2 separate regions of the Mus musculus genome follow, and region 2 is reported to be linked to region 1. The links are microRNA targets in miRTarBase. Many come from high-throughput screens and were not tested one by one. Region 1 holds a microRNA gene; the other region holds the end of a gene's coding sequence.
What was found. Region 1 holds the annotated microRNA mmu-miR-1264-5p (AGGUCCUCAAUAAGUAUUUGUU, at 2,092-2,113, opposite strand). A microRNA usually pairs through its seed, bases 2 to 8, with sites in the 3' UTR of a target mRNA and lowers its output. Matches are read on the target gene's strand: a 7mer-m8 pairs with bases 2 to 8, a 7mer-A1 pairs with bases 2 to 7 and ends in A, and an 8mer does both.

Region 1 (4,403 bases):
CTACCTGGAACTTCTACTATAATCTCATGTATTAATTACCTATTAGTATATGGAAGCAGCAAAACAATGATATGGGATCAATTATCATTGCAAATAATAATAAAAAGATTGTACTAGTAAAAGTCATATAATACTCTTATGAAGATAGGGTAGAGTAGTAATATGAATATTTAAAAATTGAATGACATAAAAGCAATTTGAATTTTTTTAGTATTCAATATTCAGAACTCACATTTATCTTCTTCTGGTGATTTTCTTCCATGATTTTCTTTTCTTTTTGAAATTATAATAAAGTTGCATCATTTCTCCCTTAGCTTTTCTCCTTTCATACCTCCCTATATATCCTTTCTTCATCTCTTCACATTCATATATATATATATATGTGTGTGTGTGTGTGTGTGTGTGTGTGTGTGTGTGTGTGTGTGTGTGTGTGTATAAACTGTTCCTGCTCCATTTGTAACATGTTACTGATAGACCATGCGTAATACGGGAAACTTAGCCAAGTCTTAGCCAGTGAAGTCATGAATCTTGGCGGATAACCTACAACAATCAGTTTAGTAAGTCAGTATAGTCTCTAATTAAATTCTAAACATTTGTCCTTATGTGCACAGATAAGTGCAGTCCTCACCCTTCATCAAATAAACTTCTTACAACACATGAAGATCATTACAAAAAAATTCAGCCAATCAAACTGCAGAGTTATGGATTGCAGTCCCAGTGGATCCACCTAGTTTGTTTTTAAGAGTCACAGTGCATTTAAATAAGTCCATATTTCTAAAACAGATGATTACTAAATCATTCATCAAACATTTTATCTATATGGATTACCACTCAAGCCCATGTATGTATAAGTAATTGAATACAGAACAGTGAATAACATCTGCATAATTTTTGTACATAGAATGAAAATGAAAGGAAAAAGCGAGGAGAAATTAAAGGAGGAAAATGAAGAGAAGGGCAGGTATATCTAGTTCCTGTCTCATAAATGAGACTGTTGTGGAGCCAGATATTGTGGTGCATACCTTTAAGCAGGAGGACCAGAATTTCTGGGTCATCTTCTGCTTCATAGTCAGTTTAAGACCAGACTAGGCTATTGGGTATCTTGTTACAAACAATCTCAATCAACCAACCAAACCAACAGCAAAACTCTCAGTAGAAAAATCAACAAATAAATAGAAAAAGAGATTGAGGGCATCCTTCATGAAAATTGATAACAATACTAGTTTATATTCAAAGTGGTCTTTACATCATTCATAAAGTAGACTAACCAATTTGTTTTTCCTAATGTATACCTCTAGTCCGATAAAATCAACAATAACAGCTATACCTTACAAAGATGTCATAGGAGCAATTCAAATGTAAAACATTTTATTCCTTGATCTTCTCAGGAAAGGTGTTCGGTTAAAATACATTATCTATTGTCCTATCTCCAGTGGAATTTTAAAATTAGAAACAACAAATGCTATTTTCATATTCAAATTACTTTCAAGTAACTGGCTAGAAATTAAACCTGAAAAGTAGTAAAATGATGGACAAGGTACTTAAAAACATTCTGGATACGATTTACTATAAATAATGGATAAAAACCTTTTGGATAAGTTTTATTATAAATGATAGATAATACATGTAAGTAAAAAAGAACTAAGAGGCACAAAGCCTTTAAGGAACTCACATTATTTCATACTATGTTAATGTAATATGCTGAAGACATTAAGAAAAATGGTTATGAAAAGGTTTTATGGTGATCCAGGAAGTTCTATTTTAATTTATTGACCCTTGTAAGATTACTGATTTAGTATTCCTTTTTATAAATACTTAAATTTCTACAAGAAATGCTTTTGCTCCCATACTTCATATAAGTCCCAGGTTCAAGTCTCTAAATTCTTTGATAATGGGACATGAACTGCGCATCTGTGATCTTTTTAAAAGATGTATTTGATATTATTACAGTTTCAAAAATGATAGTCATTTGTACATTTACCTTATATTCATTCTCTCCCATATAAGATCACAAGCTCTGTTTGGTTTGTAGTTTTTTATCCTCCACATAACAGGTGCTCAAATAAGATTTGTTGCTTCATTTATTTTTTCAACAAATACTTATTGAGGACCTGCTATATGCCAGGCATGAAGAAATATAACGTGTTCTATGTATCCTGACATTGTCTTTAAAAAGTTCGACCATATTTTTCAATATGACATAGAAGTTTCAATATTTCTAAAAAGTAATTACTAAATCATTTTCTTTATAAACCTCCTTTTATCTCTACTTTGTTCTTAGTTGTATCTAAATATAGAGCTGTTGTGTTTCTGACCTATAATGTGTTTTATTCTGGCTCTTCAATTAGACTTTTTAATACATATTTAGTTTGGCTTTGCTTCCTTACATAAACAAGGAGATGCCAAAACAAGAACAAGTACGTTTTAATTATAAGTATTAAATGTGCAAGGATTGCTATGCTTTCAAATCAAGCTAAATCATTCTACTACTCTAGAAAAGTCTTCTATTTAAAATGAATGACATATATCTATTCAGAATATTTTCAATAATAAGTTTCAAATGTAAGAATGAGGTGAGCATCAGGTGACATATTTATTAATATCCCATTAATAATGTAAAACATCTGCATCTAATGTGTCATCAATGTAATTTTTGACACATGGTCATAATATATTTGAAACAAAAGTTTTATGTTGTTGAATCAATGGGATATTTGAGGAAATTGTCTTTCTTTTACTTTGATGCATGTGAATGCTTTGCCTGCGTATATAAGTGCACCACATGCATGCAGTGCCCAAGGAGGCCATCAGAGGGTGTTAGATTCACTGAAGGTGGAGTTAAAAAACACTTGTAAACCAAATTTTGGGTGCTGGGAATTGAACCTTGGTCCTCTGCCAGAGCAACAAGTACTCCTAACTGCTAAGCCATTTCTCTAGCATCTGAATTATTGTTTATAATTCTACTAAAAAGCTAACTTTGACTCTGTGTGAAATTTTAACAATCTATGTAAAGAAGAATATCAAGTAACAAATAAAAATAGAATCAATATGGAAGTTCAAGTAGTGTGTTTTTGAATCTAGGTTGTGGTGTTTGGAGACAGGATTAGTAAAAACCTTTAAATGGATGGTTAGTTAATTAATCTGTACCAAATACAAAGTTATCCTATAAGAATTCGTGGTTTATTCTTCTGGATGTCTTCCAATCTCTATCAAGTTCTCACTGCATGTTCTGTGTATTAAATAAAAATCTACACAGCCCATGCAATGAGCACATCCTAGAGACTAATATGCTTGTGATATGTAGTTCAATAGTTGTTAAGGGGTCATCAGCTTGTTAAGTTAAAAAATATTAAGTATATTTGAAATATTAGTTGGCAAAGTGGAAAACTTAACCAAAGAATTATGGAATATTGGAAATTGAAGAACCAATAGATTAGCAATCTGTCACCCTCTACCATTGCACTACATACTCTTTCAAACCATATAAAGAAAACAAATAGCTACCACAAATAAAGGTTGATATTTGAGAACCTCCTGAGATAACATAAAAATTTATAAACTCAAATAGAAAAGGTCATTGTTCACTACATCCAAACTAAATTCCCTACTCTGGTTAGTGATCCTGTAGATAGATGGTTTTATGAGAAAAAAAAATATTGGACATAGGAAGAAGGAAAACCTGGATTACATGTTATATTTCTCTGAATTTGTACAAATTAGTTCAATCTCTGGGTCTCAGTTTATACCTATTAAACAGGGACATCAGTAACTAAATTTGCTATTTTTTTTTCAAAAGATAAAAGACTTTAATAGGTCAAAGATCTCTGTCAATTATAAAAAGTTAAGTAAAACTGGTTCTTGGTCTTACCTGAATCAACGTATTTTCCTCATAGGTCTTGTTTTTTAATATTTTTTGTGCTGTTTTTTTTTCCTGAAATGTTCCCAACAACTTTTATGTTATTTTTCAGTTCCATGACCCTGAATTAAATGTTAGACTTTATGGAGTAGCTATGTGATGACTAATTACCTATTTTTTTTTTTAATGAACAAGTTTCTTGCAATGCAGTTGTCTGGAAACAACTAAAGTCCTGGCTACAATCAAATTTAGAATAAATAGGCAGGACAGGGAGAGAGTTAATAAGGAAGTGAACAAATGCACAAGATAATTGCAGAAGAATAATGCTGTAAAAATACAACAGAGCCAAGTAAAATAAGAGACAGAGTTTAAATAGTGAGGGTTGCTGGTGTATGTATCATGGGAGATTAATGAAACAGTCACACATAACCTGGGACTTAAAGAATGAGGAGCATCTAGGCAACTGAAATAATACTGTTACAAAGAGAACATCAAGAGCATGTGACTTCAAACTGGGTGTGAATTACTATGGCTGGGGAAAGGAAAA
Region 2 (4,403 bases), not on the chromosome of region 1:
GCCCAGGTCCTACTATAACCTGCGACCAGAGCTGGTGGTTGCTCTGTCTGTGGTTCAGGACCGGGGCGTGTGGGGGCGATCCCACCCTAAGGTGGGCAGATTGCTTTTTCTGCGGTCTGTCCCTGGGCCTCAAGGTCAGCTCCAGTTCAACCTGCAGGGTGCGCTTAAGGATTGGAGCAGCAACCGACTGAAGAACTTGGACTTACACTTAGAGATTCTGGTCAAAGAGGACAGATACTCCAGGGTAACTGTCCAGCCCGAGAACCCCTGTGACCGGCTGCTCCGCTCTCTCCATGCCTCGCTGCTGGTGGTAACCCTCAATCCTAAACACTGTCATCCTTCTTCCAGAAAAAGGAGGGCGGCCATCTCTGTCCCCAAGGGTTTCTGTAGGAACTTCTGCCACCGTCATCAGCTGTTCATCAACTTCCAGGACCTGGGTTGGCACAAGTGGGTCATCGCCCCTAAGGGGTTCATGGCAAATTACTGTCATGGAGAGTGCCCCTTCTCAATGACCACGTATTTAAATAGTTCCAATTATGCTTTCATGCAGGCTCTGATGCATATGGCTGACCCCAAGGTCCCCAAGGCTGTCTGTGTCCCCACCAAGCTCTCGCCCATCTCCATGCTCTATCAGGATAGTGATAAGAACGTCATTCTCCGACATTATGAAGACATGGTAGTCGATGAGTGTGGGTGTGGGTAGTCTCGGGACTAGGCTAGGAGTGTGCTTAGGGTAAATCCTTTAATAAAACTACCACCCCACCTTTGGCTTATGCTCTCTTGAATCGGACATGTCTGTCATCATGGTTCATGAGCCCCACAATTACACACATTTGTGTATGACTATGGACCCCTTGGTGAGCTTACTTAATTTGTGCTCATTATGCATAGTAGCTGGGCTTCTTGTTCTTGTTTGAAACAAGGTCTTATTATACATCTTTGCTGGCCTTGAACTCATGGCAATTCTCTTTCCTCTACCTCCTGTGTGCTGGGATTACAGCTGTGTGCCACCAGGACCAAAAAAAAAATTTTTTTTTTTGAAACAGGAAACATGGTCTCTATACCAGGCTGTCCTATAACTATGTAGACCAGGCTAACCTCAAACGCACAAGAGATCAAACTGCCTCTGCTTCCTGAATCCTAGAATTAAAGGCCTGCCCTGTACCATATTATATCCAATTGTATATCTTAAGATTTTAAAATTATTTTGAGAAAATATAACATAGAAAAATTTACGTGAGCTTTAAAAATGTTCACTTGTTTGTTTTATGTGTGGGTGCTTGTGTAAGTGCACGGTGTACATGCAGGAACCCGTGGCGGCCAGAAGAGGGAGTCAGATCCCCTGAAGTTACAGGTGATCATGCGTCTCCTCCATGTGGATGCTCAAGTGGGTCCTGCACAAGAGCAGGCAGCGCTCTTACTGCTGAGCCAGTTCTTTTTTCTGTGTAATCCTGGCAGTCCTGGAACTCACTCCGTAGACCAGGCTGGCCTCGAACTCAGAAATCTGCCTGCCTCTGCCTCCCAAGTGCTGGGATTAAAGGTGTGCGCCACCACCGTCTGGCTTCCTGGGGTTTTCTTAATAAATTTACTTCAACTGAATTATTACAGCAAGATTTTGTTAAGGTGTTTGAATAGATATTGGATTATGTGTACACGTGTTTGATACTTTCCTATCCTTTTTTTAAAGGAATTATTTATTTATTTTTTGTATATAAGTACACTGTAGCTGTCTTCAGACACACCAGAAGAGGGCATCAGATCCCATTATAGATGGTTGTAACCTACCATGTGGTTGCTGGGAATTGAACTAAGGACCTCTGGAAGAGCAGTCAGTGCTTTTAACCTCTGAGCCATCTCTCCAGCCCCCTATTTTTTAAAAAATAATTTATATATATAAATATATGTATTATAAAATTATATATAGAAATAATTCTATTTTATGTGCATTGGTGTTTTGACTGTATATATGTCTGTACAGGGTGTCAAATCCCTTGGAACAGGAGTTATAGACAGTTGTGAGCTGCCAGGTGGATGCTGGAACCTGACCCTGGGAGAGCAGCCATTGCTCTTAACCACTGAGCTGTCTTTCCAGCCCAATTCTTTCTTCTTCTAATTAGCTAGAGCTGACAGCTTGGCACAGCCCAGAGTTATTATCTCAGGGAGACTCAATGGGGAATTGCCTTGATCAGACCGGCATTCGGGTTATGTCTGAGGACATCTTATTGATGGTTGATTGATGTGAGAGGGCCCAGCCCACTCTGGGCAGTGCTACCCCTGAGCAGGTGGACCTGGGGTGTATAAGAAGAAAGCTGAGAGGCTAGAGAGATGGCTCAGTAGTTAAGAGCATGCGCTGCTCTTGCAGAAAACCAGAGTTCAGTTCCCAGCTCCCATGTACTCTAGTGCCAGTAAATCTCACACACACACACACACACACACCTAAAAATAAAATAAATAAATAAATAAAATAAGGAAGAAAAGAAGAAAGAAAAGCAGGTTGAGCAAACCATGAGGGAAAAGCCAGTATTCAGCATTTCTCCATGGTCTCTCCCCTTCAGTTTCTGCTTCCTGTTCCTCTTTTAAGTTTCTGCTCTGACTTCTCTCAGTGATGAATTGTTCTCTGGGGTGTAAGATGAAAGAAGTCCTTTCTTCTCCAGGCTGTGTTTGTTTGTTTGACACAGCAATAGTAAAGCAAAGCAGGACCTTTCTATAAAAGTTATTAAAAGGGAGGCTGGAGAGAAGGCTCAGCAGGTAAGAGGTGACTGTGGCTAAATTTTGTGCACTGGAGTTCAGAACCCAGCAACTATGTAACAAGCCTGGTGTTCTGCAAACACCTCTCACTTTGGTTCTGAGGGGTCCTACACTCTCTTCTGTACACACACACACACACACACACACACACACACACACACACATCTGGACTTTTTGTTTATGTGAGACAGGGTTTCTGTGTAGTCCTGGCCATCCTGGAATTCTCTCAGTAGGCTATGCTGGTCTTGAACTCAGAGATCCGCCTGCTTCTGCCTCCCATGTGCTGGGATTAAAGGCGTGCACCACTATCGCCTAGTTCAAAAATCATTCTTTTTATACATCTGTAATCCCAGCACTTGGGAGACAGAGGTAGGTGGAACTCTGAGTTGAGGCTAGCGTGGTCTATATAGAGAGTTATAGACAGCCAGAGCCACATAAAGAAATCTTGTCTCAAAAAGTAGGAGAAAAGAAGAAGAAAAGAAAAGAAAAGAAGAGGAGAGAAAAATAGTAAAAACCTTGTTGAAAGGATATTGGTGGGGTGGCCCACACCTTTAATCCCAGCACTCAGGAGGCAGAGGCAGGTGGAACTCTGAGTTGAGGCTAGCGTGGTCTATATAGAGAGTTATAGACAGCCAGAGCCACATAAAGAAATCTTGTCTCAAAAAGTAGGAGAAAAAAAGAAGAAAAGAAGAGAAAAATAGTAAAAACCTTGTTGAAAGGATATTGGTGTGGTGGCCCACACCTTTAATCCCAGCACTCAGGAGGCAGAGGCAGGTGGATTTCTGAGTTTGAGCCAGCCTGGTCTATAGAGTGAGTTCCAGGACAGCCAGGGCTACAGAGAAACCCTGTCTGGCGGGGTGGGGGGGGAGAAAGAAAGAAAAAAAGAAAGGAAGGAAGGAAGGAAGGAAGAAAAAAAGAAAGGAAGGAAGGAAGGAAGGAAGAAAGAAAGAAAGAAAGAAAGAAAGAAAGAAAGAAAGAAAGAAAGAAAGAAAGAAAGAAAGAAAGAAAGAGAAGGGACCAGACTGAAGCCATTTTGAATAAAACTTTCATTTTGAACAGAGGTCAAATAAGTTTAAGTTCCCAAGACCTCAGTGTTGAACTGACATCCTGTCTGGCAAGTTGAGACATGATTGCTAGGCAAGTCTCCCACCACAGTCGAATAAACCAAACAGTAGGAACAGGATGAATGTACCACAAAGACAAGTTCCTAGGGAAGACTTCTATCCCTAGATCCTAATTTGTGGGATAACTTGGCAGACTTATTTATTTATTTATTTTTAGATTTTTACACCCTAACATTTGGATACCAAACGCTAACCTACTTGAGCCCTTAAGCTGAATTAGCAGCACCTCGGACTGTTTTTCAGTCATCTGGACTCCCGGAGGTGAGCCTGTATTCTGCTTTCTGGTGGAGCCTCTCTAGGACCCAAGAAAGGAGAAAGTGGACGCAGCACTGCTCCGAGGGTCAGAGGAGGACAGGAGACGGCCCGCTTTTCACTGGTTTCCACTGAGGGAACATTTGCTTCTGGTTCTGGGCATGCTGGATTGCCCATGTCTGTCAGTCTGTGTCTGTGGTTTCATTTAGTTTGAATGTTGCTCTGTGTTTTATATCTGGAAAAACGGGCCAAAGTTCATCTGCTGGTTGTTCACCTCTT

Region 2: miRTarBase lists Gdf3 as a target of mmu-miR-1264-5p. Seed matches in the 3' UTR shown: 7mer-A1 at 1,013-1,019.

What each region holds. Positions count from the first base shown.
Region 1 is chrX:147,008,324-147,012,726 of GRCm38, reverse strand. It overlaps Mir1264 (microRNA 1264), which reads right to left and starts at 2,126; the gene lies at 2,041-2,126. All of the region lies in intron 2 of Htr2c (5-hydroxytryptamine (serotonin) receptor 2C), which reads right to left. It overlaps Mir1912 (microRNA 1912), which reads right to left and starts at 3,286; the gene lies at 3,200-3,286.
Region 2 is chr6:122,602,606-122,607,008 of GRCm38, reverse strand. Gdf3 (growth differentiation factor 3) reads left to right here. Exons shown (of 2, transcript NM_008108.5): 2 at 1-1,606. The coding sequence ends at 703. It also overlaps a transcript of Apobec1 not described here. Among named protein-coding and RNA genes, the nearest start is that of Apobec1, 2.4 kb to the right of the region's middle.